Notamacropus eugenii: one gene and its partners. The protein of the gene in region 4 interacts with the protein of the main gene of each other region in a pairwise test. Links are inferred from orthologs where the notes say so. Each region holds a gene or a part of one and is shown on either strand. Other genes may lie near its edges. The genes, in order: AKAP10, C5H2orf88, AKAP1 and PRKAR1A.

Evidence for each region.
Region 1: the proteins of PRKAR1A (region 4) and AKAP10 interact in a two-hybrid assay, tested with the Homo sapiens proteins (3 studies listed by BioGRID and IntAct). The link is inferred for Notamacropus eugenii from reciprocal best matches to the Homo sapiens genes PRKAR1A and AKAP10.
Region 2: the proteins of PRKAR1A (region 4) and C5H2orf88 interact in binary tests that used the Homo sapiens proteins (3 or more experiments, as listed by UniProt). The two-hybrid records come from large-scale screens. The link is inferred for Notamacropus eugenii from reciprocal best matches to the Homo sapiens genes PRKAR1A and AKAP19.
Region 3: the proteins of PRKAR1A (region 4) and AKAP1 interact in a two-hybrid assay, tested with the Homo sapiens proteins (2 studies listed by BioGRID and IntAct). The link is inferred for Notamacropus eugenii from reciprocal best matches to the Homo sapiens genes PRKAR1A and AKAP1.

Annotation. Positions count from the first base shown.
Region 1 is NC_092873.1:41,114,896-41,122,543, forward strand, and holds the start of AKAP10 (A-kinase anchor protein 10, mitochondrial), read left to right. Parts: upstream 1-4,634; 5' UTR 4,635-4,642; coding exon 4,643-4,787; exon of another isoform or gene 4,788-4,939; intron 4,940-7,648. UniProt on the Homo sapiens protein: Differentially targeted protein that binds to type I and II regulatory subunits of protein kinase A and anchors them to the mitochondria or the plasma membrane.
Region 2 is NC_092876.1:257,520,210-257,526,951, forward strand, and holds C5H2orf88 (small membrane A-kinase anchor protein), read left to right. Parts: upstream 1-3,917; coding exon 3,918-4,190; 3' UTR 4,191-6,242; downstream 6,243-6,742.
Region 3 is NC_092873.1:369,175,794-369,183,630, reverse strand, and holds the start of AKAP1 (A-kinase anchor protein 1, mitochondrial), read right to left. Parts: upstream 3,007-7,837; 5' UTR 2,923-3,006; intron 1,654-2,922; exon of another isoform or gene 1,586-1,653; intron 1-1,585.
Region 4 is NC_092873.1:331,704,169-331,711,668, reverse strand, and holds the start of PRKAR1A (cAMP-dependent protein kinase type I-alpha regulatory subunit), read right to left. Parts: upstream 3,003-7,500; 5' UTR 2,451-3,002; exon of another isoform or gene 2,044-2,450; intron 1,950-2,043; exon of another isoform or gene 1,570-1,949; intron 1-1,569. UniProt on the Homo sapiens protein: Regulatory subunit of the cAMP-dependent protein kinases involved in cAMP signaling in cells.

The DNA of each region.
Region 1 (7,648 bases), about 290 Mb from region 4:
CTTCCACATCCTTCCAGGGCTTCCTCCTCCTTACAGCCCTGTTTCTCCCAGCCCCAAGGCCTAGTTCCCTCCCCGCTGGCAAGGAGGTCCTGGTCTGCCCTTCCCTAGCCCCGCTGTTTTGGAGAGTGCCTCATTGTCCCTTCCCACCTGACATAGGCTAGGACTTCAGCTCCAAGGGGTATTTAGTGACCCAGAACAGAGAGGGCTTTTCCCTGCCGCACCCCCACTAAGGAAAACTGAAGGATCTCAACTCCCTAACCCCAGCACTCTCCTCTTTGCTGAAATTCTTCCCCCAACCCCTGATGGCAACTCATAGAATGTCAGAACTGGAAGGGGGACCTTATAAACCAGTCCTGACATCCAACCCTTTCATTTTACAGAGAAGGAAACTGAGGGCCAGGGTTTGTGACTTTCTTCAATGCTCCAGAGCCACTAGGGAACCTGAGGCAAGTCTCTTCATGTGAGTCTTGGCAAAGTCCTGTATTGCAGTGCTATGTGCCTGCATGGGATTCAGTGTGTTTACTCTTTCCTCCTTTCTTCTCTCCAACCTTCATAAAGTTGTAAGTGCAAACAAACAAGCTGTGTACACTGACCACAGAATGATCCTATTACCTTGGAAAAGTCAATTAAGCTCCTTGACTCAGTTTTCTTCTCTGTAAAATGGGGGGTGGAGGAGTGGGAGGATGAATTAGGTGACTCCTGAGGTCTCTTCAAGCTCTAGGTCTATGATAGTTGGCACTCAATACAAATCTGAGATACAGAGGAAAAAATTAATTTTAAAAATAAAATAAAAACTCCAAAACAAAAACTTGCCTGATCTTGGGGCTGGAGGATTATTTTACCACATGAAAGATGTTAAGTACCTCGGGAAAATTTGTGACCTCCTTGCCCCCCTCTCCCCCAATGTGGACAAAGAAAGTCTTATTTACTTACTACCTGTGTAATCTTGGGTAAATCACTTAACTTCTCCCACCTTCAGTTTCCTCATCTGTAAAAATGTGATAGATGGTCTCTCAGTTCCCTTCCAACTCAAGATCATTGAGTCTATAGATAAGGCACCATGCTAGGTGTCAGTGGATAGATACCAAGACTAATATGAAACAGTCCTTGCCTTGAAGGAGTTCACTTTCCAGGAAAAAGTAGGCAATAGACATTCCTCTACTTGAATGAATCTGGAGGCTAATCAATGAGCATACCTCTCCCTCAGAGGTGCATGCCCTCTCATCTTGCAATATTCTTCTCTATATCTTCCAATAAATCTCCCAGTTAAGACCTACCCAACATATTGGAGGGTTCCCAGGGATACAGATATGGATGATACGGAGAAGTTTGAGAAAGAAAGGAACTGGATCCCAGATACTCATGTGTGTGCTTCACTTACCCAAGGCAACCCAAATAAGAAAACACAGAGCCAAGATAATAGTGTGGAAGGGTGCCCCTAAGACTGGCCTCCTCTTCTTAAAGGAAATACTGAGAAAGAAGACAATTTCAGTCTAAAGTCCTTTCAGATTCACCTGATTGAAACAGCCTTATCAGTACTTAAATTCCAGAGGGGCAATAAATTGAAATTCTATGGGTTCATCCTTAAGATAGGTCTGACCAGTTTCTAAAGGGAAACCTAATCCAAATTCAGGAAAGAACCAGAACTTTCTGAAAATAAATTCCCCAGTACCTGCATTTCTCTTCCTCATCTCCCCCTCAGGTCTCAACTCAAGTCCCACCTAATGCAGGAAGTCTTTCCTAGTCCTCCTTAATCTGAATGTCTTCCCTTTAATGCCATTCCACACCCCCCCCCCAATTTACTGGGCATATATGTAGCTTTTACAGAGTTGTTCACATGTGGTATCCCCCATTGGTCTGGGAGTTCCATGAGGGCAGGGACTGTCTTTTGCCTCTCTGTGTATCCCTGGTTCTTAGCACAGTACCTGGCACCCAGTTGGTACTTAATAAATAATGCTTGTTGATTGACTGACAAAAATAGGAACATAAATATTTTTTGATTTATCCAGTCAATAAAAGTTCCTCTTTCTCTAATCTTGCATGGTTTAAATGGTTTCAGGAAAATTATTCTCTCATTATTTTATTAGTGATCCATTTAAGCAAATTAAAAAACAACAAATTGAACTTTGTATCTTCATTTTATCTCTGTGGAATTTTGTCTTTTTCACTCTTATTACAAAAATGGAAGTCAAAATGACTTGGAAAGAGAAATTTTAAATAAATGTGAGGTAGGGAAGACAGAATCCTTTTGGATCCTGTGTCCCTCTCCTCCCCTCTTCTCTATCTTTGTCTCTTCTCTCTTTCATACCCCCCAACTCTCCATCCCTCTCTCTCTTTCTCCTCTCTCAGTATCTCTTTCTCTCCCACCTCTCTCCTTCTTTCCCTCACCTCCTCTCTATCTCTCATCTATGTCTCTCTCTATCCCTCTCTCCTTCCTTTCCTCCCTCTCTCTGTCTTTCTCGCCTATCTCTGTCTGTCCTATATCTCTCCCTCTCTTTTTCTTTTCCTCCCTCTGTTTCTCTTCCTCTCCCCCTGACCCACTCCCACACTCCCACCTTTTACAGTGAACTAAATACAACCAGGAAAACAGCAAGACTTTATGCTTCATCTCCACACCCCATCCAGCCATCCAGGCAGGCTACTTCACCTGCTGTCAGAGATGCTGACCTGCATCCTCCACACCAGACCTAATACCTGGATTTATACACCATATGTTCTGGAATCTAGGCCCCAGATCCTGGGGAAGTCAGTCAGTCAGTCAATGATTATGGATACTCATTTTGGGAATTCCCAACCCATTTAGGTGACTGCAAACTTCACCCACTATATCTACTGGCTGACTTGCCACCAGACCATGCTTCAGCCATCCACCCAGGTCATCTTGTAAAATCAGAACCACTAACCTTGGCTCCAAGGAAGAGACAGGAGAAAGCACTTCTTTTTCTTCAAAGAGGAGGGGGAATGGGTTGAGTGTAGAACACTGCTTCTTATGTTAAACCTTTTCTATATGTTGGTTAGTTTTACTGAACTGTTTTTTCTTCTAAAAAAAAACCCTTATAAGGGTTCTAGGAATGTTAGAGGAGAGTCATACATTGGAAAATGTAGGTGACGTAAAAACAGAAGATTTCCATAATAGTCATTTTTTAAATGATGATATAAAGATGGTGCAGTTTCCACACTAAGACTTTTGGGATGCCCTTTAGTTTTGTACAGCAAAGACTTTCCCTATGACTTAGATCTCATTTCTCACCTGACTGAAACAGAACCTCCAGGCTCCTGGAACCTGGGCTCACCTCATCATCCTGTTAGATCCCATTAAGCTTACTTAGCATTTCACCTCATTACTAACTGGAAGGTGGGGTCATAAACTCCAAACATCCTTTCTTTCTTTCATCTTTCTTCTTTCTTCCTTTCTTTCTTTCTTTCTTTCTTTCTTTTTTCTTTCTCCCTCCCTCCTTCCCTCCCTCCCTCCTTCCCTCCCTCCTTCCTTCCTTTCTCCCTCCTTCCCTCCCTCCTTCCCTCCTTCCTTCCCTCCTTCCTTCCTTCCTTCCTTCCTTCCTTCCTTCCTTCCTTCCTTCCTTCCTTCCTTCCTTCCTTCCTTCCTTCCTTCCTTCCTTCCTTCCTTCCTTCCTTCCTTCCTTCCTGGCAATCAGGATTAAATGACTTGCTGAGGATCACACAGCTAGTAAATGTCTGAGGCCAGATTTGAACTTGGGTCCTCCTGACTCCAGGGTGACAGAACATTTCTCACCTGGCAGGACCATTTTGGGACTTCTATGCCTTCTTTACCATCTGGTACATTCTCCTCCTCTTCCCCTTTCTTCCCCTATTAGATGGTAAGTTCCTTGAGGGAAGGGGCTGCTTTTCTTTTTTTGTACTTGTATTCTCAGTGCTTAGCACAGTGCCTGTACATAGCAGGCACTTAATAAATGTTTATTGATTGATTGGGGAATGTCTACCAGTGCTATCACTGGTTCCAAGGGCACCCACAATTCACTGAATTATTTTTAGTATAATTCCAAATTGTTGTAATGTTCCCAGCTCCACCGATAACGGAGTCCTGCCGCGTGCGTGCAAACTGCATCCTTGACCTTCATGCCAGCGCCTGGCACCCAGTAGGTTGCCCACCTTGTTAGCTGGTGCCTTTGGCTTTTCAGGGTTTTATTATTGTAGTGCTAACTATTAATTAATTAGCTATACTGTATCCTCTTTGGAAGTTTTAGGTACAAAGCCCCCAAGGAGTAGGAGCAGCACGTTGTCAGAGGTTCTTGACTTTTTGGGGTGTCCTAGACCCCTTGGGCAATCAGAGGAATCTTTTTAAATGCATTAAATAAGATACAGAGGATTACAAAGGGGACCTATTATCTTCAAATACAGTTGTCAAAATATTTTTTAAAAGCACGGTGAATAATCCCTGACATTAGAGAAAAGCTGCCAAGAAGAGAGCCTCTGGCTGGGAGAACCAGGTCAAAGCAGAAGAGCCCCGCCTATGGGGCGGGGCAGGGAGGGGGAGGAGGAAACGCCCCGCCCCCGACCCGCGGAGCTTGAGGCTCCCCGGCGGATCACGTGTGCTGAGAGGGCTGCGGAGCCGAGGGGGCGGAGCTCTGGCGGGGAGGGGGTGGGGAAGCGTTCGCCTCCCGTGATGCCCCGCGCCGGGAAGGGGCCGGAACTCCGGGGCGGGCGGCTTGTTGACAACATGGCGGCTGCGGTGGCGGCTGTGGCGGCCGCCCGGGCGGCGGGAGGCGCCGGCGGCGCCGGCGGCGCCGGGAGGAAGGAGCCTCTCTCGGGTTAGTTGGGCAGGCCTCTGCGGGAGCCGCCGGCGCTCGCTCCGGCGGGGGGACCGGTCACTGAATGAGGGGAGCCGGGGCTGCCCCGCGCGAGTCCCCCCGCGCCCTCCGCCCCGACCCGGGCCCCGCCATGGCCTTCTTCCGGCGGAAAGGTAGGCGACGGGGCCGGGGCGGGGAGCGGGGCCGGGCTCCGGGCTCCGGGCTCCCGGCTCCGGGAGCGGGGCCGGACTCCCGCGCAGTTCTGCGCCGGGCCGGGCTCGGGAGCGCGCGCGGGCCCCCCGCCGCGCTGACCCCGGCCTTGCACTTGACCCTTGGAGCCGCCTGGGCCCCTAGAACTTGGAGGACTCCCCGAGGGGCGCCCATCCTGCCCTTCCCTGTCCCGGGGAGGAAGCTGAGGGCAGGCCGCCCGCCCAAGGTCGCCCCGGGGTGCCTGGCTCTTGGTCCCGGAGCCCGTGGCGTTGGCCCGTGGGTGCGCTCGGAGACAGACCACGAGTGACCTTCGCGCAGCGCCCGGCACGTAGTAGGCGCCTCCTCGGCGCTTCTTGGCCTCGGCTCCGGCCCCCGAGTGCCCCGGAGGCACCCAGGGAAGCCGAGCTTCGGATACCGAACTTTGTTACAAGTCACTTTAGAGGAGGCTGGACTCGGGGTCTGGGGCCCAGCGAGGTCCGGGATGAACGCTCCCCTGGGGGGAGAAGCCGACCTGCTTGGCCCAGGAGGGCTCCTCCTCCCACGGCCCAGCGAGAGCCCGGCTCCGGTCCCCGCCATCCCCATGAGCGGACCACTAGAATGAACCGCTGGAGACCCACCTCCCCCTTCGGTAGTATTTTTCTATCAAGTCCTTGTTCTTGTTCAGAAATAAAGGATTTCTCCTAATCTCCTAAAGTAAGTTTTTGCTTCAGCGGTTAGCGGATGCAGTGATGGTGTGAGTGACAAAGTTATACTAGCCTAGGAATGCTAAAAATAACGCATCTATGCCCCTCCGCCTTTCGGTCCTGTGAGGTAGGTAGTGTCAGTCTTTTACGAATGAATGAAGAGGTTGGTCACCCTAACAGCGAGCCATTTAAATGTAATAAGGAAGCTGGATAACCCATTAAAAAAATTATTCACCTAACCCAGTTTCTTTGTCCTCTTCCTTATCCAGTCATTTGCACAGTCTTACCAGTTCTGTCACCATAGCTTGTCTCACTTCTGTCCCCTTGTCTCCAGAGCCATCCCCTTGGTTAAGACCCTCTTTATCTCTCACCTGAAACTATTGCAACAGGCTACAGATTGAACCCTTGACTTTTCTTTTCTTTCCTCCAATCCATTCTCTGCACAGCTGCTAAAGTAATCTTCCAGAAAACACAGGTTTGGCCATATAATCCTTCTGTTTGAAAATCTCCAGTGGTTTCCTGTTACCTCAAGGATACAACACAAACTCATTAGCTTGGCATTTACGACCTATCACCATCTGGCCCCAACCTACTTTTCCAGGGTTATTTGACATTATCCCCTTCTCAAGCTGAGTTCCAGCCAATGGCCAACTTACTGTTCCTTGAATTTAGCATTCCCTGTTCTTCCTTCTGCTTTTGCGCTGGTTATTCCCCAAAAGCACAGGGTTGGAAGGCACCGATCACTCACTACCTCTGCTGGGAAGCCATTGGCTATGTCTGTAATTGTTAATTTCTCTCCACATCCTTGGTGAAGTGTAAACTCTGCCTGTGTATAGAGACTGCTTTTTGCTTTGATTCTGTATCCCTAAAACCTAGCATAGTGCTTTATTGGAGACATGAATAAATACACATAGTAGTAGTAAAAATGAGATACAACTTTGGTGAGCTGTGTGCTGGGTACACTTTCTTATTGTGGAAATATCCTTTTCCCCAAAAGTTTGCAATATGTGCAAATTCATTTAGCTGCCTTTATTAGCAACAGTCCCAATGCCTTAATGTTTGTAGAGGGTTTTTTATCCTTTTTCAAAATGCTTGAAGTGTTTCCATTTAACTGAGATGGCAGATCAGAAATTAGAATCCAGATGACTGTTAATTTAGCCATCTTTCTATGTCAGCAGTTATTGTTTAATGCCTTTTTTTAGGCAAAGCCATGTTAAATGTATATTTTGAAAGGAAGTTGTCAGCATCCTTAAATATGGTAATTGTTCATAACTGAAGCAAAGATGACAAAATGTGTTCAAAGAGAAATGTTCTGTGAAGTTGTTTTTTTTCCCTCAAGCCTTGTTTCGTGTCATAGAAAATAGGCAGATCTTGTGCTCACAAGTGAAAAGATGGAAATACTGAGGTTTCTTGTGTGGTGTATTATTGTTGCTTAGAATTAACATGAAGCAGTTAAAATGAGTTTAAAATTTGTTTTATCATTTAAAATTGAATTCATTTCTTTTATTTATTTTTTTACTCTTGATGAAGCCCAGCGTACTCTTTGGACTTAAGGCAGTATTTTTTTTTTCTAACAAAATAGTTTATTTGCGTTGTCTTTCTTTTCATTCTCCATCTGTATACTTATAACTTATTTTTAGAAGGTTTTTTAAAAATGTGTTCTTAGTATGGTATGTGTGTTCTAATTCTGCTGTTATCACTTCACTTGGTTACAAGGCTTTCTACATTTCTTAGTTGTCATTTTTTATTTGTACTAGTACTGAGTTACAGTTATATCCTACTGCAGGTTACTCCGACATTCCCAGATGAGTTAGGTCATTTTTAGTTTTTGCTATTATTAAGCTGCCATGGATATTTTTGTGCAGATAGGTCTTATTTATCTTTTAATAACATCCTAGAACTATATCATTAGTGTTGGGGTCTCTGGATCAAAGGATTGTGAGTCTACAAAGTTTTTATTTGAGGTGCTAGTTGCAGTTAAATGTGGGT
Region 2 (6,742 bases), on a different chromosome or scaffold from region 4:
AAGGAAGACCCTGAGGTTGCCAACCTGGGTGACTAGAAGAATGAGAGTATACCTTTGTAAAGAGGCATGGCCTTTGTGGGGAAAGATCATGCTCACAACCCATCCATGCCTGCTCACTCTGTCCCACCAAAATGGCAGGGATGGAGGGGGCTACTCACTGGCCACTGCTACAGCCACAGGGTGATCTTGGAGGGAGAGGGAAGGGGAAGCAGAGTGAGGGAGTATTGTGGGGTGATGGGTAGAGGCTGTGATACTGAAAATAAGCCCATGGTTGCCTATTGTGGGATGTCACTCATCATCCATTTGGTAGCTTCACAAACCCTTTGGAGTCATGAGGTTGGCCATCTACTTTGGATCACACTGTTCTCTACAGGCTACCCTTTCATAAACATAGCAGATATTTTTTTCTTTTCCAAGCTAAAAATTCCACATGCCTTCGATAGTCCAGGATGACAGCTTTTGATACATTTCTTTTGACAATATTTGAAGATAAGTAACACCTCAAGTTTTAACAGTAACTTCATTTTAAATTTGGAAAAAAATTATCTGTGTTTCTTTCAGAATAACTAGCTAAAAAAAGACTTTTTTCTATAGTAAACATGCCCAAAAGGGAATAATTTACTATAATTGAGTACAGTTAACATGTTTAGAGAAAGGATAAAGAGAATTTAGCAACTCCTGTGGCTCACTTTAAAAATCTGAAGTTAGAGCATTACACAAAGTGTGACCTTGTTAGGGATCAGTCATTACACAGACACACACAAACCTGTGCTTAGCTTATGGCATAGTGTCATAGGTTCTCTGCCAGCTTTTACCTTTGTGGTAAAAGTGAGTGGGAGTGGTAGATGAGAACTGGGAAGCCAACTGAGTTTTTCCCAACATACATTTTTAGAGCTCTCAGATTCTGAGTCATGACTTGGGTTGTAGGCAGTAGATTACCATTAAGTTTCTTTTCCTTGAATCTTTGCCCAAGATTTAGATATTCAGGAGAATATTGGAAAATTGAGAATGTTGTCAAATGAAATTAATTTACCGATCAGAATCTGAGTTGGAAGGGACCTTTGAGGTCTTCCATCCCAAGTGCCCTGAAACACAAATCCCCAGCATAAATCCTGAAGGTCAAGCCAGCCTCTACCTACAGGTCTCTCATGACATGGAACAGAAACTGCAGAACAGGAAATCTGGCCTCTTGGGGTGGCCCAATCCATTTTGTAGCAGTTTGAATTTTTCAGTTTTTCCTCCTCTTAAGCCCCTATCTGATTCTGCAGTGTTCACCCAGAGCTCCTGTTCTGCCCTCTGGTGCCATATAAACAACATAGTAATGATCTAGCGGAAAGTACACTAGATATGAACCTAGAAAATCCGGGTTCAGATTCCAGCTCTTCAGTTTCACCTCAGCCCATCCGCTTCCCCTCGGTTTCCTCATCTGTGAAATTTGAGGGCCAAATGTTGTGACCTCTAAAAAAAGACCTTTCCATATCCAAGTCCCAAGATTCTGATTCTCATCCCCTCCATCCTTGAAGATCCATGTACTGCCCTCCCCACTATCTGTCAGTCCTCTCTCCTGGGGACTGTCACTGAAGTATGAAAGCTCAGGAGAACAAAGGCATTAAATCAACCTCAAATATGAGAGAGGATTTTAGGCTACAGAAAGAGACAAGGATAACTCCGAGGAAGAAGGAGTCGCCAATGGGCTCCTTCCTTGGCCCTAGTCAGACCACACTTACAGTATTGCTCAGTTCTGCACAGCACACTTTTAAAGACGTCACTAAGCTAGAGAATGTCCAGACACATGGTAAAGGGCTTTGAGTTCATGCTGTCACATCCCGCATTATTATTTAGTGCCTCCTCTGGGTCAGGCTCTGGGTATACAAAAACACAAACGAAAGAGTCCATGTCCTCAAGGAGCTTCTAACTTATCCATATGAGGATTCATGAAAGAACAGAGGCCGGAGAAAGAGAAAACTTAAACTGAGGGAGGAGCTGGGGAGAAGGAAGACATGACAACTGTCTTCAAATATCTTCAAATACCTCTTAGAGGAGGGTGTAGACTTTTTTGTTTTTTGGTTTTTTTTGCCTCAGAGGGGAAAACTAGAAGCAAAGGGTAGAAGTGCAAATTTGGGCTTGAAGTAAGGAAAAAACTTCCCAAGACTTAGAGTTCTTCAGGCGTGAAGACCAGATGGCTGCTGAGGCTTTTTTTTTTCAAGTCTGAAATTCTACCTGCTAAACAAACATGAAAGATGGCACAGCTCATGGCAGTGGTTCTCCAACTTTTTGGTCTCAGAATACCTTTACAATCATAAAAACTACTGAGGACCCCAAAGGACCTTTTGTTTGTGTGAATTAAGTATCAATAGGTATCATATTAGAACTTCACTCAATATTTAAAACTAGTTATTAATTTTTAAAAATAATGACAAACCCATTACATTTTGATATAAATAACATTTTCATAGAAAACTATTTTTGTAAAAAAAAAATTAGTAAGAAGAGTACCCTTGTTTTATAATTTTTGCAAATTTCTCTGATATCTGGCTTAGTAGTGTACACATTCTCATATTCGTTAGGGGGGGCCAGATGACAAAGTGGATCGAGTGCTAGGTCTGGAGTCTCTAAGACCCAAGTTCAAATCCAGCCTCACACACTCATTAGATGTGTGACTTTGAGCAAACCATTTAATCTCTGCCTGCTTCAGTTTCCTCAAGTGTCATAGGGGAATAACAGCAGCACTTACTTTGCAAGGTTGTTGTGAGGACCAGATGAGATGGTATTTATAAAGCATTTAGCATGGGACTTGGCACATAGTAGGCATTATGTTAGGTATTATTACTATTTTTACATTCTCTTGCTATGTGTTGAGAAAATCTGACCCAATGCAGATACATAAATGGAAAAGAGAAGAATATTTTAATAAGCAAATGTTTTAGTAATATTATAAAAAATAGTTTTGACCTCAAAGACTCTGAAAAAGGTCTAAGGAACTACACTTTGAAAAGCACTGATTTAGTGAATGGAGAGCTATCTGGGAGTCAGAACCCTGGCTGATATGTGGTAGCTTCATGACTCTGGGCTAGTAAATTTACCTCTCAGTGCTCTAAGTGCTAAGACTATAGACAACTGAGTTGCTGATTTATATCTATTGATTCTGCTAAGCCAGCAGTTCCCTCCTCCAAATAGATCACAGGTCTGCACCTCCCCTCCAAAAATCTAAACTCCAAAACAACTACCAGTTGAACTGAATGCTGGGAAGAGGGGAATCTCTTACGTTTTCTCCACAAAATTATAAAAAAAATCCCCAAATATTATGTCAAAAGTAGCCAATGCTTGTTGTCTTTTAATACCTAGCTTGCATGAATACTGTGCTTTAAGGGTATGATCAGCAAAGAAAAACACCAAACATTTAACAGAAAAAAGCTGCATTTCTGCTAGTTGCAGACAAGGATAAAAGAGTTAATTTGGGGGTCTATAAATCAAGAACCTTCTTCCTTTTTCCCTCAATAGCATCAACAGCTTCCCACCAACTAAAAATCATCTAGTTTTGATTAATGAAAAAAGGAAAAACAAGAATTAACCCATAATTAAAGCTTAATCTTATCTTGACAGGTAACTTTAAAAAATTTTAATCCTAACGCTCAAGTGAATTTTTCTTCTATCTGCAAGATAAGTCATTTCTGTACTTTTTATCAACTCTTCATTGTAAAAGTAATAGGTTTTAGAGAACCAGATCATCCAGTATTCTGTAACCTCAAACTGCGCCCTTGCTCTTTTGACAGATAAACCATAAATGAGAAGAGTGGTGAAAGGAGGTATTGATTCCTGCTCATAGGAAGAAAAACGCTGGTTTATTGAGTATTCCAAAGATGCTGCTAAAGTAGCCTTGGACATCTCCCTCCTCCTCAGCCTGGTTCCTGATTACTATGGGCTGCATAAAGTCAAAGCAAACTTTCCCTTTTCCCAACACAATCTCAACTGAGAGGAGACATGACAGTGAGGAGAGATTTCTAACGGAAAAGCCGTCGATGATTTCTGTCAGAACAGAGGTTGTGAAGGATTCTTCCACCAGGGTGGTGGTGTTGGAGTATGCCCATCGTCTGTCCCAGGAAATCATGGATGAAGCGGTGAAGCAGTGGGCGGCCAACGACATCAGGTATGGGGACATCCCATACATTGAGAGTGAGGCAATGCCCTGAGGCTCCTGGCTCACTCTAGAATGAATGACTCCGTGAAACTATCTATAGGTTTAAACAGTGTACACTGGTGCTAGTTCAAATACAGAAGAAGGCAAAAACTGATGTGATTAAGTACCAAGAACTCCAGCTGTATGTAAAATGTCTTTGGTGTTGGTACCACAGTTGCTTTGATGGGAGAGTAGGTGCTTTAAAAATGAAACGTCTGTTGTGATCAGCACTAGAGGAAGAATGTTTTCTGCTCTGTTTGCCTTGGATCATAGCTTAAATGATGTAGCTTAAATGACCACGTGGGGTCCTGTGGCACCGATAACATTTAACTGGCTACTCTCCTACAGTCATGAGACAAGCCTATCACTCCATGCAGCATTGCCAAAGAATGAAAACTATCACTGTTCATGGCCATTGTTTTTTAACTATATGCTATTAGCTCCACTATCTAATGATACTTGACTGTTGGACAGGCAAAGATCATCAGTATGAAAGGAAAGGTTCCCATACAAACATCACATTTGGGGCTGGTTAGAGCAAAAATGCCCCCTTTCCCATTCATGGACAGCCTTTGTTTGCTCCAGAAATAGACAGCTAAAGAGAACCTATGTGCTTTTTATCATGAGAAAATAGTTTGTTTGCATTTTTGAAGAGGCCCTTAAGGTTTTCCCTTAATAAAACTTATCAAATACATTAAAGAAAAGCACTTATCAATTAACTTTTGAGTAGCAGGGTTAAACTACAATATTCCTTAGGATGCAGCCCTCCCACCCGCAATCATCAAATCACTCGCACTCCCCATGTATAAACCACTTATTTCAAATCCTAAGATGTTGGAAAACACCAAAGCTTAGGGTGATGGTCAATGCTAAAACTGAATGAGCAGGTGGTTATGGTCATACCACCCCCAGCTGGAAGGCACCGGTCTTGATGCTGAATTTGCAGTGAGTTTTCAACGTGGGCTGAGGCAGGCAGATTTTCCTCATCTTCACCCTAGAGTCCTGCCTAATTGCTGTTCTACCAGCTTCTGGTGAGTCTAGAAATCCAGGAAATTCCCAAAAGGATTATGGTTAGCTAGTGTAATGAATGAGATGTTAAGCCTTTAGAGCTTAAATCTTTAAACACAAACCAAAAAAACCCCCAAACCCATTAAGCTCTGTTTCCTCCTCACTGCTTTGCCTACAAAGCTAGCCTGGCTGTGTGCCAAGTGGGTCCAGTAATTTGTTTTAGAGAAGCTATGAATTTACCTTATGGGTTGTGTTTGATCATACCTGTCAGCATTAAATGAACATTGCTGCCCTTAAAAAAGCAGAGTATGGGGGACTTAGAGATGTAAACTGTAGTATCGTTTGCCTACACTGATGTATGTTTGGGTGCCTTGCAACTGTTTCCTTCTGTCACTTTCACAGACCTGGTTCTGAAAACTAAAATGCTGATGAGTGAGCACCTTATGGCAAAACCCTCGAAGACTTTTCCAAGGGAGCAGCTACCAAAAACTTAACAAGAAAACTTCAGAATGAATCATTTATTTGTAAGGTCATACCCATGGAGTCTAAGCTGAACCCAACTTCAGTGTTCACAGTACTAGCTTTTTAGCAAATTATTCCCTGTTCAGTTTCATGGGGATGAGGGAGGGCATGGATGGTCTCTTTAAAGCACACACTTTTCAGGACATTTGTTTAAAGCATTGTAATAAAAACTGGGTATGAATTATAGGACTAACTGTAGCGGAGTAGATAAGGGCCATGCTTTACTGCAACCTAGCACTGATATGAGCTACTGCAGATTTGCTGTTAGTGTTCCCACTGTCTCCATTTCCCTCATCCAAGTCTAAAGAGAAAGAAAGGGAGGATATAGCACGTAAATAAGGATACATGTATCCTGCACAGCAAAGCAGTCAGAAAAAAAAAGATACCTCTACTCACTTATTTCAAATACAAGAGAATCCTACCTAATGTATTTCTTTAAAAATAAGTGCTAAGTCACCTTTATTATTGATGTTATCTTGTGCATTAAGTCCAGTTGCATTTTGGACCCATGATCAATAAAAAGTATGCCACCTAGGCCCTTTTTTAAGGAGTGTATGATTCTTAACATTCCACTTTTCCTACTGTTACAACTACAATCCAGAGAAATGTAGATGATTCCTGTTCATGGAAGGAGCTGAGGTTTGTGGGTCCGATGCTAAATGGAAAGTCCCTCAGTTCAGCTGATAACATTTCCAATGTGGTAAATTCCTGGTGAAAAAGTTTAGAAAGTTTACATGTGCTTAAAGTCGGACCAAAACCTCAGAGTTACCGCTTTTAATTAATGTTATATCTGAAATCTAAAACACATTTAGTTTTTTACATCATCATCTCATTTTCCCACAATGCCCTTGAAGGCTTAAGAATGTCAAGCAATTGATAAAATTTGGTTTCCACTTCTAGTCTAAGGAATGGGTTAAAAAAACATATATATGTATGTGTGTATATGTATGTATGTATATACACACATACCCTATATATGCATACATGTATAGGTATTTATGTATACATAGATATATATGTAGCTTTGAGCATTGT
Region 3 (7,837 bases), about 37 Mb from region 4:
TGGGTAGGAGCGTTTGATAAATGGGGGAGAGAGGGGAGAATTAAGTAAGCATTTAACTACTGCCAAACTCACTCAAGTCAATTATCTACAATTTCTGGAGTATCATCTAATGTAAGAATAACCCTTGGAATTCTAGTCCCTTCAACTGATCTCCATATACCTAGCAGGGTGTCAAGGGAGTCTTACAGTTGGCGCTCCTTATTTTATCACCATAATCCAAACAAGTTCTCTTTTCCACTGCAAAGAGCCACGTACATTGGACTGAAAAGTGGCTTCCAATCCAGGCTACGCTACTTAATACTCTGTGCAACTGTGTCCCCTCCCAACTATCTTACATTTATTCTGAACACAGGTACATACATACATTGTCTTCCCCATAGGCAGTAATTTTTGGAAAGCTGGTATCTTTTCCTCCTTTTAATCTCCAATATCTAACATAGTAAGCACTTTAAAAATATTTGTTTTCTTCAGTTCTCTTTGCCCCAGGTTCTTTTCAGTCCTGTATTTTTATGCCCAGCAGTTTACCCAGCAAAGAGCACATAGAATGGGACTTAATAAATGCTTGTTAATTGACCTGGTTAAAAAAAAAAAAAGAAAAGAAAAAAGAGGGAGTTCAACTAAAGAATCTCACCCTAGCACTTACACTTCAGTCACATAACTAGGAAGAGATAAAGCCCTTATAAAAACACAATCTCATTTACTTGCCCTTTAAACACAAATAATTAAAAGCACATGTTATTTTATTTGGAATAAAAATTATTATCCTATTTTGCCTTAGGGATTTAAAAAACTGCAGTGTTAAATGTTAGTTTGGTTCTTTGAGGGATTCTTAAATTCTGATCCTTTTACTGCTACACGTGCTTTGAAAAGAGAAAGGGCTGAGATCTCTTCCGAGGTGAACAGGAAAGAAACTCCACTTTACTGCTAACAGGCAGAGTGAATCCAAATGAAGACAATCAGGTAATACCAAGTGATACTACAGGGTTTTTATTGTTTTTGTTTTTAAAAAAACAGTACAAAGTATCATTTAAGTATTAAGAACAGTTCACTTCTAGCCAGCCAAAGCTTTGTTTTCTACACATAACATGGGCTATAAAACAATGGAAGGGCCAACAAGTTTTGGATTTAGTTCCTATTATAGATTATAGGTACCTCAATTTATGATTCCTACATGATTTATGTTTATTTAAATTGTGTTAACAAAGAACCCTTCCCTCATTGGTGATTAAAACTCGCGCGGGGAGGGGAGGAGAGGAGAGGGAGAAGATTGTGCAGGCTGTACAAAGTCGTTTCAGCTGAGATTGGTTTCACTTCGTAGAAATACTCAAATACCAAGTAGTCTGTGCTTAAGTTAGAGGACAATAGTTAAACTAGCCTCTTTTAAAAAAAAAATTCACACTATACCAACTTAAAAGGTTTCTCTTTAGGTGTTTCTACCTTCACTTAGAGCAAAGACAACTAGTTATCGGTAACAGCAGATGGGGAAAGTGGGAACCTGCTGGAAAGGGCATCTGCTACCAGAACTAGGATCAAAATGTCAGCCTGTTTCTATTTTGACACCTGACCTTGCCCCCAGTTTACACACCTTCTGCTTGTCGTTCACCTCCACTTCCCAATTCTGCCCCCAGGAAAGTGAGGGTGGAATAAGTTTTCCTAAAGAAGGGGAAAGGAAAAAACAACTGGATCTCAGTTACATAACCTTCAGGCACTTCCCGTAGACTCAATGAACAGCACAGGGCCAAAAACACAAAACAAAAACCCGTTAGTCTCATGCACTTTCTGCCAGCTGCCGTCCAATAGCGCTGAGAGCCACTAGAGAGAAAAGAAAGGCTGGCCCAACTCAGCGCCCGCCCCCTCTGTCCTGAGGCTGAGTCGAGTCCTGCCCAAGCACCTTCTCTCTAGCTTTGTTTTAAGCTGTGATTGCAAACAGGTGCGTGCGCCCCCCCAAGAGACCCAGCACCCAGGTCGCTGCCGCAGGTCCTGGGGGAATCCCCTCTGCTCGGTAACATTCGTCCAACAACCACCCCGGGGGCCTCTCCCACGAAGCACGGAACTCCACCAGCTTTTCTCTAGGCGTGACAACTCCTGCTTTGGAGTCTCCATCACGTCCCATTGCTTCCTCTCCCCAAACACTAGCCAAGAAGGGTTTTTCTCCTCGTTCCTCAGCACTCATCCCCGGGCTCACACGGTCGATTTGGCAAAATACTTCTCCGCTAACGTCTACCACGGAGCAAAGCCACATCAGTTAAGCTATCAAGGGGCCTGGCTCTCGGTTACCACCTGCCTCACTCGGACCTGGGACGGGACCGGGAACGGGACCGGGGCCTAAGGGCGGATGACATTTTTCTTCAGTTGCTGTTCAAGGCTAGTATCTCTAGGAGCTGGGTGGGCAAGGAGGGGGGCGGGAGAGCCAGTCCTCGGACCCCACCCCCGGCCCCACCCCACGCCAGGGCTGCGCCCTTGGCATCCGGTTCTATCCCAAGGCCCCCTCTGCCCGCTCGGGCTGGGTACACACGACCTTTGGAAAGTAAACGCACGCGGAGCCGGGCGACCTTGGGTGGGACACGCTCAGCTCGGCGGCTTTCTCGAAGCGGAGCGCGCGGCGCGGGCAGCCGGGCAGGGAGGGAGGAGCGGCCAGAAGGAGAAGTTAGAGGGAAGCACCAGCCCAGGACCGGCCGAGGACGGCGGCGCTGGGGAAGGTGCGGACACACATGGCTGGGAGAACGAGGGCAAGGAGGGGTCGCTGCTCCGCCCCGGGCTTCCCCCGCACCTCTCAGCTGTCCCCACGAGCCGGGAAGACAGGACAGGCGTGGAAGTGAAGAGGAGAGCCCGGGGCCAAACGCCCGCCGACCGCTGCCTCCCAACCCAGCCGGGGCAGAGGCGGGGAGATCTCCCCCCCCCACCCCGATCACCCACACTTACGAGCTCTTAGGCGATCGCCCCCCCAGGAGCAGTCAGTTCACGTGCAGCTACCGCTGCCCCCGCCCACCCCCGACCCCGCCGCCGCCCCCTTCTCCGCCTCGGCCCAGCGACTCGGTTCGGCTCGGGCCGCTCCCCCACGTGCTCAGCCTGGCTAGGGGAACTCTGAGACTTTAAATAGTGAAGGCGCGCGCCGACAACGTGCACGCGCTGAGAAACCCCGCCCCCCTCCTCCGCTCCGCCTCCCAGCTCCTCGCGGTTTACCCTCGGCTCCGCCTCTAAGACACTACGCACGCGCACTGCTCCACCTTCTCCGCCCCGCCCACACCCAACTCCTTGCTGCCTCTCCTTCACGCACGCGCAATTCCATGCTTCCCTGCCCTCCACCTACCGCCCTGCCTTCATTCACTTACGCACGCACGGGTTCCACGCTCCCGTCCTCCCTCCCTCCTTTCTCCCCCGCCCCCACCCAACTCCTTACAACCCCGCCTTCTCCTCCTGCGCACGCGTGGCCCAATGATCCATCTTTCCCGTCCTTTGGCTCCTCTGCTCCCCCAACAGTGCCTTTCCCCGCTGCGCACGCGCACTCAGCATCCCTCGCTCCTTAATTTGCTTGTCCCTCTCCTCTGCGGAGAGTTGACCGTGTGTTCCATCTTCTCTGGCTCAGACCTGGGAGCCCAAACTCTGTACGAGTCTGGACCTAAGTGTTAGGGAGGCGGTGTAGGGGGTGACCCCGGCGTGAGCCTTCCCTTCCTCCTTCTGTGACCTTGGACAGTAGTCTCAGCTCAGCCACCACCTTGCAGAGTGACCTTAGACAAGTCGCCTTCCCTTTCTGGACCTCACTCGTCTCCTCTGAAAGGTCCCCTCCAACTCTAACAAAGCTTTTCTGCCGTAGGGAGGACTCAAGCACTGAGTGCCCACTTCGTGCCAAACACAGTGCAATGTGCTAGGGATACAAAGAAAGGCAGAAAACCCCAGTCCTTGCTGTCAGGGCGCTGGCGTTGTAACGGGAGAGATGATGGCCAAACCACCATAGCACAGTAGCTAGGTACAGGACCAGCTGGAGACATTAGCATTAGCACTCAGGCTATTAAAAAAATAAAAGTTCCTGGGGAGCGCCCCCCAGCCCACATGTGCCTCCGATGGGACGGCGAAAGGCTGTGTCCCTGCGGATCGCTGGTACCTAAAACCCAAGATAAAGGGTTCCTTGCCATTTGAACAAAGCCATCAAGGTGAAGATGAAACGTGCTCCACCAGTTGTCCTAATTGTGGGATTATGATTCATGAGCAAAGAGGCTCACCAGAGGGGAGGTAGGCACTGCTGGCTCCTTGGCTGCCTAGGAAACAGGCTCCGCGACTGTCCCAGGAGGGCCTGGAGGGAGGGATTGGACCTGGAGACACCTTCTCACTCTGAAGGCTGACTTCCCCCGTGGAAGAGTCTCTGATCCAAGGGTGGGGAACCTGGGGCCTCGAGGCCACATATGGCCTCCTAGATCCTTGGGTGCAGCCTCTTGACTGAGTCCAAGTTTTACAGAACAAATCCTTGTGGGGATTTATTCTGTGAAGTTTGGATTAAGTCAAAGGGCTGCGCTTGATCACCTAGAGGCTGAAGGTTCCCCAGCCCTTGTCTGGTCTGTTCCACACTGAGACCAACTAGCTTGTCTCACAGAGAGTTCTGTGAGAAGTCACTAGAGAAGAATTATTTTTAAAACACATCATTAAAATTGACATTTTAAATAATTCTTTCAAACCAGGCTTTTATTAAATGCAAATGTGTATTAGGCTTGGTTAAAATTCATCAAAGGATTTTTGGGGTTTAATTGCATCCTCCCCTGTCCACTCCTACATGTGTGTTAGACTTCTTAACACTTCTATAACTTTTTGATACAAAAAGACGCCTGTCTCCAGGATTTTTAATGACAGTAGGTCTGTAGAGTTGGTAAATTTCTGCTGTGTACCATACAATGGATTATATTCTGCTACCAGATTCTCATCAGTGATGGGCCTTTGTCCCCACAAATTATGTGGATCATAATAATAAAAACCTCCATTAGGAGGAAGAATTGATGTTTAATTAGTGTTTGTAAAGTTGGGGGTATTCTGTAGGTCAGGGACAAATGTCTGTTAAATTGTAAATGTAGTTTTTTTAATGTAGAAGAGATCTAGAAGGCTTGCTTTTTAAAAGCATATATATATACTATGTATAAATATTTATGTTTATTATGTATTATATTTATATGTCATAGATGAAATATTATATACACATACTAAAGCTATAAATAAAATACTGGAAAATGACCACATAGGGTAGAGATAATACAAATGGGTTGGACAAAAGGGTGAACTAAACCCAAGGAGTGGAATGGTGAAATACTTATATATCAGGGGTTAGATTGGAGTACTCATCATGAGGCATAATGCTGAGTTCTCCTGGCAACTTGTAGGGACACCATGTAGGTAAGTATGAAGGACTTGCTGCTTTCTGATGACATAGAAAAACCCTCAGTGGTCTCTTCGTTGGAAACCTTGTTTTCTCACTCCCCATCTAGGGTGAGGGTTGTGAATTGGAGAGAATGCGTTAGAGGATTGGCTATTGAGATAAGAAGAGCCATTCATAAAGAAGGCTTTAAAAGGAGTAACTCAGATTTCTGGTGAGAGGTAGAAGAGACGCCCATCCACCCCCACCTGGGGCCTGGCAGCATGGCAGCTTCTAGAGCAGAGCACAGAATATGTGTCCCGTCTAGGGGAGCCTGAGCCTAAGACTGGGCCTTGTGCCCCTGGCTGCCTCATCTGTTCTATGTTCTGCCTCTAAGCATCAATGACTGAATATTGATCCTGCAATAGCTCTGACTAATCTTAAAGGCAGCCTCATGGGTTTAAGAAGTCAGGATCTCCTGGGGCCCCTAGTTGAAGCTGATTCAAAACAGAAGGATGGCCAACAGAAAAAGGAATTTGACTTCTGATCTAGCTTGCCAGAAGATGTTGACCTGGAGGAAGACAGTGCAGAACTGAGCCAAAGGTGGAATACACATCCATCAGACCCATAAAATGGTCCCTCATTGCTTTAGGTATCAACCTCACAGGAGAACATGATATTAGTTATCAATTATTTCTACTTGCTTAAGTCTTTGTCATCTTTACCCTTGACATTTTTCACTCTCCAAACAGGACCACCAGAAGCCATACTAGGGAGGAGCTAAACCACTTGACTCTCCACTCTGTCTTTGGGCAGCAGATGGGTTAGACTAGAGACAGACTGGTGATGGTTGATTGCTTTGGGTCATGTGATAAGCAGCAGAGAAGGTGTAGTGGTAACCGTATATTTTTCACTGGCCCCCCAAAATCCTACATGCTCTACAAGCCTGCTCTAGGACCCACTGTCCTCATTTTCAAGGAAGCTATTTCCACTCTGCCTCAGCTCAAGTGGCCTGGAAGGGACTCTTGGACCTACAACTATTGCCCAGGTCAACAATTAAGTGTAAGAGTGGAGATCAATTGACTCAATTCAATCCAATCATGCCACCCCACTCAAATAAGTTACAAGGTGCTACACCCAGAGTGTTCTCAACTCTGTCAGGAAAGGACAATTAGTGAATTCAAGGGGTAAAATTAGGCATGACCTAGGTCTAGACTTTAACCAATCGATCATAGGCTTTAGGTGAAGTATGAAAAAATCTTTGATCATTGTAGAAGTTCTTGAAAATCATTGAATGAACTGGAATAATTGTGCATAGCAAGTCTTTTTACAATTGGTTAAGATAACTTATTTGTATCATGAGGGTCATTTAAAAAACATCCAGCCAGCTTGGATTCAACTCCTGGTAACTTAGGGTGAAATAGATGATAGATAGATAGATAGATAGATAGATAGATAGATAGATAGATAGATAGATAGATAGCCCTTCAGAAAGAATTGCCTGGCATGGTGGGGAGAAGAAGAGAAAAATAAGGCTTACTTGGTCCTTGGTCTCATACTCCTTCCCCTCCCATCTTTGCAAAGAGGAAGACCATGTCAACTTTGAAGGGTCTGGAGGATCTGGGATTTCCTAGACCTCTTATCAGCATCACTGGACCAGGCTGAGGAAAGGCAGATTCAGAGGTCTACAAGGAATTCAGCAGAAGGACTGCACCATACCTAATGGAGACATCTTGAGGATTACTATAAAAAAAACAAATTTCAGGAGCGGTGAGTTACCCCATCACCATACATTCTCAATAACGTGAGCCCACTTGCAGCTAGGGCCCTCTTGCTATGTACTTGTGGGAGAATGTGGTACAGATTTTTAGGGGAGTATTTTGTACCAACAATATCACTATGGTAAAATGCCCCTTTCTAAAAGCTAATTAAAACCAGGAGAACTTTGTACACAGCAACAATCACAGTGTTCGAGGAATTTTTCTGGTAGACTTAGTACTTCATAGCAATTGAAGGACTTAAAAAATTCCCAATGGACTCTTGAGGCAAAATGCCTTCCACATTCAGAGAAAGAATTATGAAATTCGATCGCAGAATGAAGCAGATCATTTTCTTTTGTATTATGTTTTGTTTTATGGTTTCTCCAATTCATTTTAATTCTTCTATGCAACATGACTAAGGTGAAAATGTATTTAATAGGAATGTATGTGTAGAACCTATATAAAATTGTATGCTGTCTCAGGGAGAGAGTGGGAAAGGAGGGGGAAAGGTGGGGGAGGGGGAAAAAAATCTAAGATATATGGAAGTGATTGTAGAACACTGAAAACAAATAAAATAATTTAATTTAAAAAAACAAAGATGTATGTTCATAAGTTTAAATTTAAATTAAATTGAAAAATAAAAAAATAAAAGCTAAGTCTAGTTGGCTAGTTGATATCAACTGATAATCATGAAATGAAACATATTAGTTGTGAGCAGCTGGGGGTGGGCTCATGGGCAATA
Region 4 (7,500 bases):
CCTTTACCTTTCAAAGTCTGAAATCATTTCATGTATATATGACAAAAGTTATCACTATAAAAACACATTAAATTATAAATATCAACCCTGACTCTTCCGAGTCAAATCACAATAGCAGCACAATGCTTTAAAACACCTGATCATGGATTAGAAGGGAACTCAGAGGTAATCAAGGCCAACACCTTTGTTTTACTGATAAGGAAACTGAGGCCTCTAATAATGAACCAAGAGACCACAAGAAAATGAGAAGAAAAAATCTGAAATCACTTGAATCTCTGAATAACCCAAACATGTGCCATCACCTGATTGGAAAGATTTATTTTTAAGACTCTAGAACTACAAAAGCTCCCCCAAAAGGCTAATTATTCTAGATACTGCATTTCAAGCCGTTAGCAATCCCTGCTTTGTGATTCTCAGTCTAGAGCACTGCCTAGTGGGGTTAACAGCTTTCCTGCTTGGGTTAGCCTCCATTTTGACACAGAGAAACGTTCTTGCCAAGCTGAAGATATATTGCTTGGAAATGAAGTTCTCATGTTAAAGACAAACTTCTTGAATCTTCCATAATAGCACAAAATTAAAGTTTTGGTGGTGGTTGTTTTACAGCTTGCCATGCTCATATGGGTATTACTTGTGTCCGAAACTTCGTTTATTCAGAAATTCAGCAGCAATACCTCTTCAGTTTAAATGGTTTTCTGTCAAATAAGAGATTTAACATCTTATTTTGACAAAATCTTTCTGGTTCAGAACAATACCTATTAAGAAGGCAGCCTACCAAAGGCTGAGCCGATGCTAAAAAACAGAAGCCTGAGGGAGAAGGGGCACAGCGTTACAATGGAAGTAAACTAATGATTTTGTAGCCATTACACAAAAGCTACGTTGTAACTATTGTGGGATCTTACCATTTTTCCTGTATAAAACGAACTGTGCTTTTGTTACGACTCCAGATGAGAATAAATTACTCCCAAAAGGAAAAAATGTGTTCCTACTTTCATGTGGGGCAGGGGAGATAGAGACATTCAAGAGAATTGTTCAAGACTACGCCCGTAGCAGGAGAATCAAGACTGTAACCTGGGCCATTTAACCACGCATCAGTTTGGGTTTTTTGGTTTGGTTTAGTTTTGAGGAACAGCAGAATACTGCATTTCATTTCATTTACGCCCACAGGGACTCCGGAAAAGAATGAAAAGGGGAGGCCAAATTACCATTCCAGTAGTAGCTGGCAGGCAACAACAGTAGAGGAAAAGAGAGATGGGGGGGGAAGGGAGAAGGCAGGAGCAGAGAGATGTGTAAACCCGGTTTAGAGGTAGGTGAAGAACAAAGGAAGAGGAGGGAAATACTGCTCAATGGGGGGAAAAAGGAGAAGAAGGTGCATTAGATGACAAGAAGCGGGGTGGAGTTAAAACAAAATGCCGTCAGGGGAGTTTCATTAACAAAGACTTGTTTAGGATCTGTGTTAGAGGAACGGGTAATAAGAATAATAGCATACGATTGTAACAATAATAACAGCCATAATAGTTAACATTTATATATCGCTTGAAGGTTTGCAAAGCCCCCTAACCAATATCTCACCTCAGTCTCTCAACCACACTGAAAGGTATCAGATGTATAGCATTTGAAAGCTCGCAGACCACTTTCACATATTTTATTGTACTGGATCAGATTCGGATGCTCTTCTCTCTCAGCATCGGGAGGTGGGGGTCAGAGAACCGCAGGAACGAGGAAGGAGGGGGCTCGGGGATGGGCGGAGCCAGGGGAGGGCGCGCGCGAGCCGAAAAGGGAGGGGTGCGATTTGTAGGCGGAGGGAACCGAAGGTGAATGCTTCTCGTCTGGTGGCGGAGGGCTACAGAATACAGCAGCGAGGGCGGGGGGCGGGCGCAGCCCCGGAGGCCTGGCGGGGAAGGGGGAGGGGAAAGAACGGGTGGGTGCGGCCCTTCCCCAGAGCGCTCCGCGAGGCGCCATCTTGGATCCCTCCAGCCGCAACAAAACGGATCGGCCCGGCAGCGAAGCGCGACCGAGGCCGGACCCCGGACACGCTCCACTTACCGACGTGCTGGCAACCGCATGCTCAGAGGTCCCAGGAGTGGGCGGCTGGGAGCCGTCTTGAACACGTTTTGCGTCGCCCCCCTCCACTGTGGCGGTTCTCAGGTGCTCTCGACAGCCTGAAAGCTCCCCCCTCCCACCGGAAACTAACCAGCCACGACCAATCACAGCAAGATCACTGACGTCAATGGGCCTCGGTCTGGTCAAGGTGGTTGCCCTAGGCAACCTTAAAGGGGAAACCAGCGCCCCTCCCCCCTTCAAAGTCCCTCTCTGTCGAACCCCACCCCCTTCCCCAGGGACCCTTCTAGCCTTGGCCCCTTTCTCCTCTGGTCCTACTCTGCAGCCTTCCCCCGTTCCTCCTCTCTTCCCCCCTTCTTTTTCGGGTCCTTCCCGACCCCCGACCCTCTCACCTGCTCGTCCACAATCTTTCTTCTTGTGGCTCTCCTTTCTTGCTTTCTCTATTTCTCTTTTTATATATATGTTTTTCTTTCCCTCTCTCTTTTTCTCTTGGTCTCGTTCTAGACGCTACGCGTCCAGACTGTCCCTCAGGCTAGACTGTCTGCCTCGGTCTCCCTTTTCCTCCCTGTCTCCTTCTTCCTCTCCGTCCGTCCGCCTGTCTCTCGGTCTGCCCGAGCTCCACCTCTTCTCGTCGGGCTCCTCCTGTCGCCTCTGCTGCACTCCCTTCCTCGTCCTCTTCCTCTCCTTTCCTCCGCCTCTTCTGACTAGTCGGTCTTGTCTCCCCCTTTCCTAGCCCCAGACTCCTCACGTGGGCGGAGAGGAGGGGGTGGGGAGGCGCCTCTGCAGCTGCGCCCTCTTTCTCTGCAGCCCCTGTGCGGGGTGGGGCTGGAGAGGGGGGCTGGGGGGAAGGTTTCGTGCTGTTCCTGAGGCCCCGGGCGGCTGCGGCTGAGGCTGCGGCAGTGGATGCGGCAAAGCCCTGCTGCCATGGCAATGCTGCAGTGTCTGGCAGCTGCGGTGGCACGTCCCGACCTGGCCGCTCCCTGCCCAGGAGCCTCTTGGCAGCATGGGCTGGGAGGCTCAATTAGAACACCATCTAGCCCAGCCCCATCAGTTTTCAGACGGGGAAACTGAGTTCAAATAAAGACGGGAGACTGAAACTGCTTTCCTAGGGACGAAATAGCTTGGTCATAATTCCAGCCGTGGGAGTCGGGCTTCAAGTGTAGGTGATTTGACGCCAGTATAGGTGCTCTTTCCTCTGACACCTTATTGCCTCACCTTTTTCTCGTAGCCCAGTTTCCTCCAGGTTGTCATATACTGCATTTAAGACCTCTCAGGGTCCTGAAATAAAACATATTTAAGTCTTGGATTTGAACACAAAGGAGAACTCCTTGCTCCTGTTGTAGAGGAGAGTCCATCATCCTGGGATCTGTGATTCAATGAGAATGCTCACAAGCTGATGGGCCAAGATTATGAAGGAAATTATAAGTCTTAAGTAAAAATTTTAAAGAATAAACATACTAAGCTTCCAGCACATATTTATATGTTGCCCTAAAGCATATTATGTCATTTGACTGTGGCACTGAAGGAAAAACCAGTCAGTCTCCCTTTAGGTCATCAATTTTGACAAAGGGAGACAGAAAGGGAGAAAAAGAAATCTTACCAAAAAAGCTACCTTCACCGTTATTTCAGAATCCTAGAAACTGGATTGTTTTTAAAACACATAATCTAATCATCTCTCACAACTTCATGTCGAAATTTCTCTCCAAGCTCGGTTGCAAAACTATAATAATGAGGGAGACAGGCAGGAATAAATTCAAGGACAAAATGATACCTCTGATCATTTCTTACTGATCTGATTCTTCCTTTCAAGGGGAAAAAATGGGGAAGTTGTTTCAGAAGGATTGTTTTAAGACTTTAATTAAATCTTACTGGTAGGCACATAGATTTTGCTGTATGCTTCTGTTCTCTTTTCACATGTGTTTCTGCAGAACCAAAAGAATGAGCCATGAGTGTTCTAACAGGAAAGAGACAAATAAACAAAGGATTTTTTTTGATTTATGATTGTCCCTCTTATATCTGATAGCTAAGACAAGCACAGTCAAAGGCAAAAAAGCAGACTGAACAAATGAAAAGATAGCAAAATGCTATAGAGGGTTGTAGCTGGAAGTCTCTCTCCCAAGGGTGTTCTGTGATGAACATCACAGGTGACATTTACTCTGTGGCATGCCTGGTGTAGTGGAATGGTAGGATAAAGACAGCTTCTTTCACACAGGATTTCACACCTAAGAGCAAAGAAAGAAGGGACTGATAAATATGCCCTCAGCTGTCATGCAAAAGAAGGGAACAGGATACTGTGAAGCTAAAGGGTCACCCAAGCTACAAGGTTATGCCCTTTTTGGACCATGTGGGCTCTGTGCCATGTTTGGTTTTGATGTAATATTTTGATGAGACAGCCTCAGAGAAAAGACAGTAAATTGGGAATATTAAACATTTTCTCCTGTTATTTGAGTGACAGCTGCTTACTCAATAAAGAATGAGGTTTTTATTCCTACCCATCTGCACTATAGGCACCATTCCAACCAAGGGCAAGAACCATACTGTTTTCTCTGTCAATAGTATTAGCTTTGTTCCAAATGCCAAATCCATATTTACTGGAGAGTTGGGAAAAAAAAAAACAGGAAGAGAAGCTGCATATAGCTGAATTTGGGTGGGGTTTACTGAGGCAGCTGGTGATTTATTTTTTTTAAGTCATGATGGCTTATAAATTATATAAATTCCCCCTTGATAACTCCAGATAGGTGAATACCGGATTATATATGACATTTCTCAATGGATGTTCTTATATCACAATATGTAATCTTTGCCATATTATGCTTTCAGTGTAAGATTCCTCAGTGTCCAAATGTCTACTGTTCTTCATCCAAAGCTTCTTTCCCTATTTCCTTGAATAAATCTAGCAAACGTAAGTGAAATCTCAGTGAAGCTGAGAAATAAAATTAAAGGAAACAAAGCCCCTAAAAGCCTATATCTTGGGTCTCATTGTATTTAAGATTGTTTTTTACCAAGGACAAACTCATAGACTTCCAATGAGAGCAATTAAGACAAATTCTATCCTGTTTGTACTATTCAGTCATGCTGAATGTTTTGCCTCTCGTGGAACCAAAGATATTCAAATTACCCCCAATTTTGCAGATTTCAAACACAGCCTTCCCTTAGGAAACATTCAAATTACATGTTACCATGACTTGCATGTAGTGGAAAGAGAATAAATTTGGAAATGAGGGGACGTGGGTTCAAGATGGCTCTGCCACCACTGTGTGATCTTCAGCAAACCATTACATATCTGTGGACCCTAGTTTTTTCTTCCCTAATGTGAATGAGAGATTGGCCTGGGTGAAGTTTAGGGTCCCTTGTAGAATTCCCTGAATTATATGATCTTATGATTCCTATGGGAAACAGTTTTCTATCACTCAAGAAGCATTTATTAAGCCACTCAGCTAGAGAATATGATGTGGATGATGAGCCTATAAAGGAGACAGAGAAAGACTAGTCAAGCAGGTGGAATAAGAACCAGGAGAGAATAATAGTATGATGAAAACCCAGAGGGGAGAGAGTTATCTATGAGGAGAGGGTGGTAAACAGTGTCAAAAGCAGCAGATAAGTTGAGAAGGATGAAGACTGAGAAAAGGCTATCAGATTTGGCAATTAAGCAAGCACTGGTAACTGGAGAGAACAGTTTCACTTGAGTGATGAAGTGAGAAGCCAGAAGCCAGCCTGCAGAGGTTTCAGGAAGGAGAAAGAGGAGAGGAACTGAAAGTAGCAAGTGCTGGGTGATTTATCTTGAGTATTAATAAAAATTATAAATCAAGTTTCATGCAAATAGATATCAAGGTTCAAATCTCAAATAAATTTCCAATGAAGATGAAAGTATATTGAGGGGCAAGTTAAGTGGTGTAGTGGATAGAGTATTGATCCTGGAGTCACTCACTGTGTGACCCTGGGCAAGTCACTTAACCTTGATTGCACAACACACACACCCCCAATAAAGAAAGTATATTGAAAATCATCCCACTCAATAGTAGAATGGTTATAGAGCAAGACAATACTGGGAAGGATGAATCAGAGAAGCGAAAAAGTAAATAATCCATACAGGTAATGAGGATGTCCTATATCAGTGTATAACAGGGAAAGGATGTGAAAGATGCTGTGGAGGAAAAAAAATAAGATTTTTGCAACTGATTGAATTTGTGTGTGAGAGAGATGAAAGAGTCAAAGATAACCCCAAGGCTTTTAAATCAGTGATTGAATAAATGGCAATTCTATTGTTGGAAATACTACCTCTATCATGTGAAGACTTTCCCAGACAGAATGGGCAGATGAGAACATTTTGTTCCAAGGACCATGAAGGTAGCTGAAGCAGGCACTGCCAAGCACTTAAAGCTTGATCAGGCATCAAAGACACCAAGGGCATCTACTGCAACCTGGGCCATCACCAGTCATCTTGACTTTTGTCTTAGAATTAGACTCTGGTGACTCAGAAAGAGAGACTAAGGCTGATGACTGTGCAACTCTACCTCACTTAAATCTGATTCACATAAAAAGTCAAGATATCCCCTGTGATGTCATTGGTCCTCTTCAAAAACAAAAGATGAACAACAACTACAACAAGATAAAATGAGGGATCAGCTTCTTGCAGAAATATGACAGGCTTGCTTTTGGACATGTGAAGTTGAAGATGCCAGTGGGAAAGCCAAAGAAACTGTATAAACAATAAAGATACAGGTCTAGACCCTTAGAGAGAAGTTAAGGCTAGAGATAGAGCTTTGGAAGTAATATGTGCAAAAGTCAATACAAGACTTAATAAGCACCACAAGAGATTATCAGGAAGAAGAAGAGTGAGTGAATGAAACACTGATCAGACAAAGAAGTGGGAGAGAGCCAAGAGAATATGGAGTTTTTGAAACCAAGAGTGGAGGGTATTACCACGATCAGGGAGGCAGCGAAGCTGAAATATATGACAAGAGGGCTGTGGTTTTCAGTAGCCCTAACAAAGCCCTAACGAAAGCCCTAAGCCTTTTTCTCACATTGCAGCTGCCTATAGACAGTAGATAAAAGCAAGGAGAAAGCCATCCCTTCCAATCTTTTTTTTTTTTTTTTTTTTAAATATATCACTCCCCTAGTACCAAATGTCCTAGCGGGTGTTTTGGTTGAGCAGTTCTAATGAAACAACAGAGCTGTGCGTAATGACAGCAGAAAAGAGCAAAAGAATCGGGTCAGACCTCTTCATGACGCAGCAGTGTGGCTCAGGGTTGGGGGAAGGGGCAGGGGAAAGGGGACAGAAAGGGGAGCATTATTCTTTCTTTGTATATCTGGTTTAGTGTTCCCACTATTGTAGACCATGCCTCAAAGAAGCTCAAGGTTTAAAATATAATAAGCCCTTGTGGAGCACAAAATAGAATTAAAACCACCTTTACTGTGAAAGGATTAAAAAGAACAGAATTC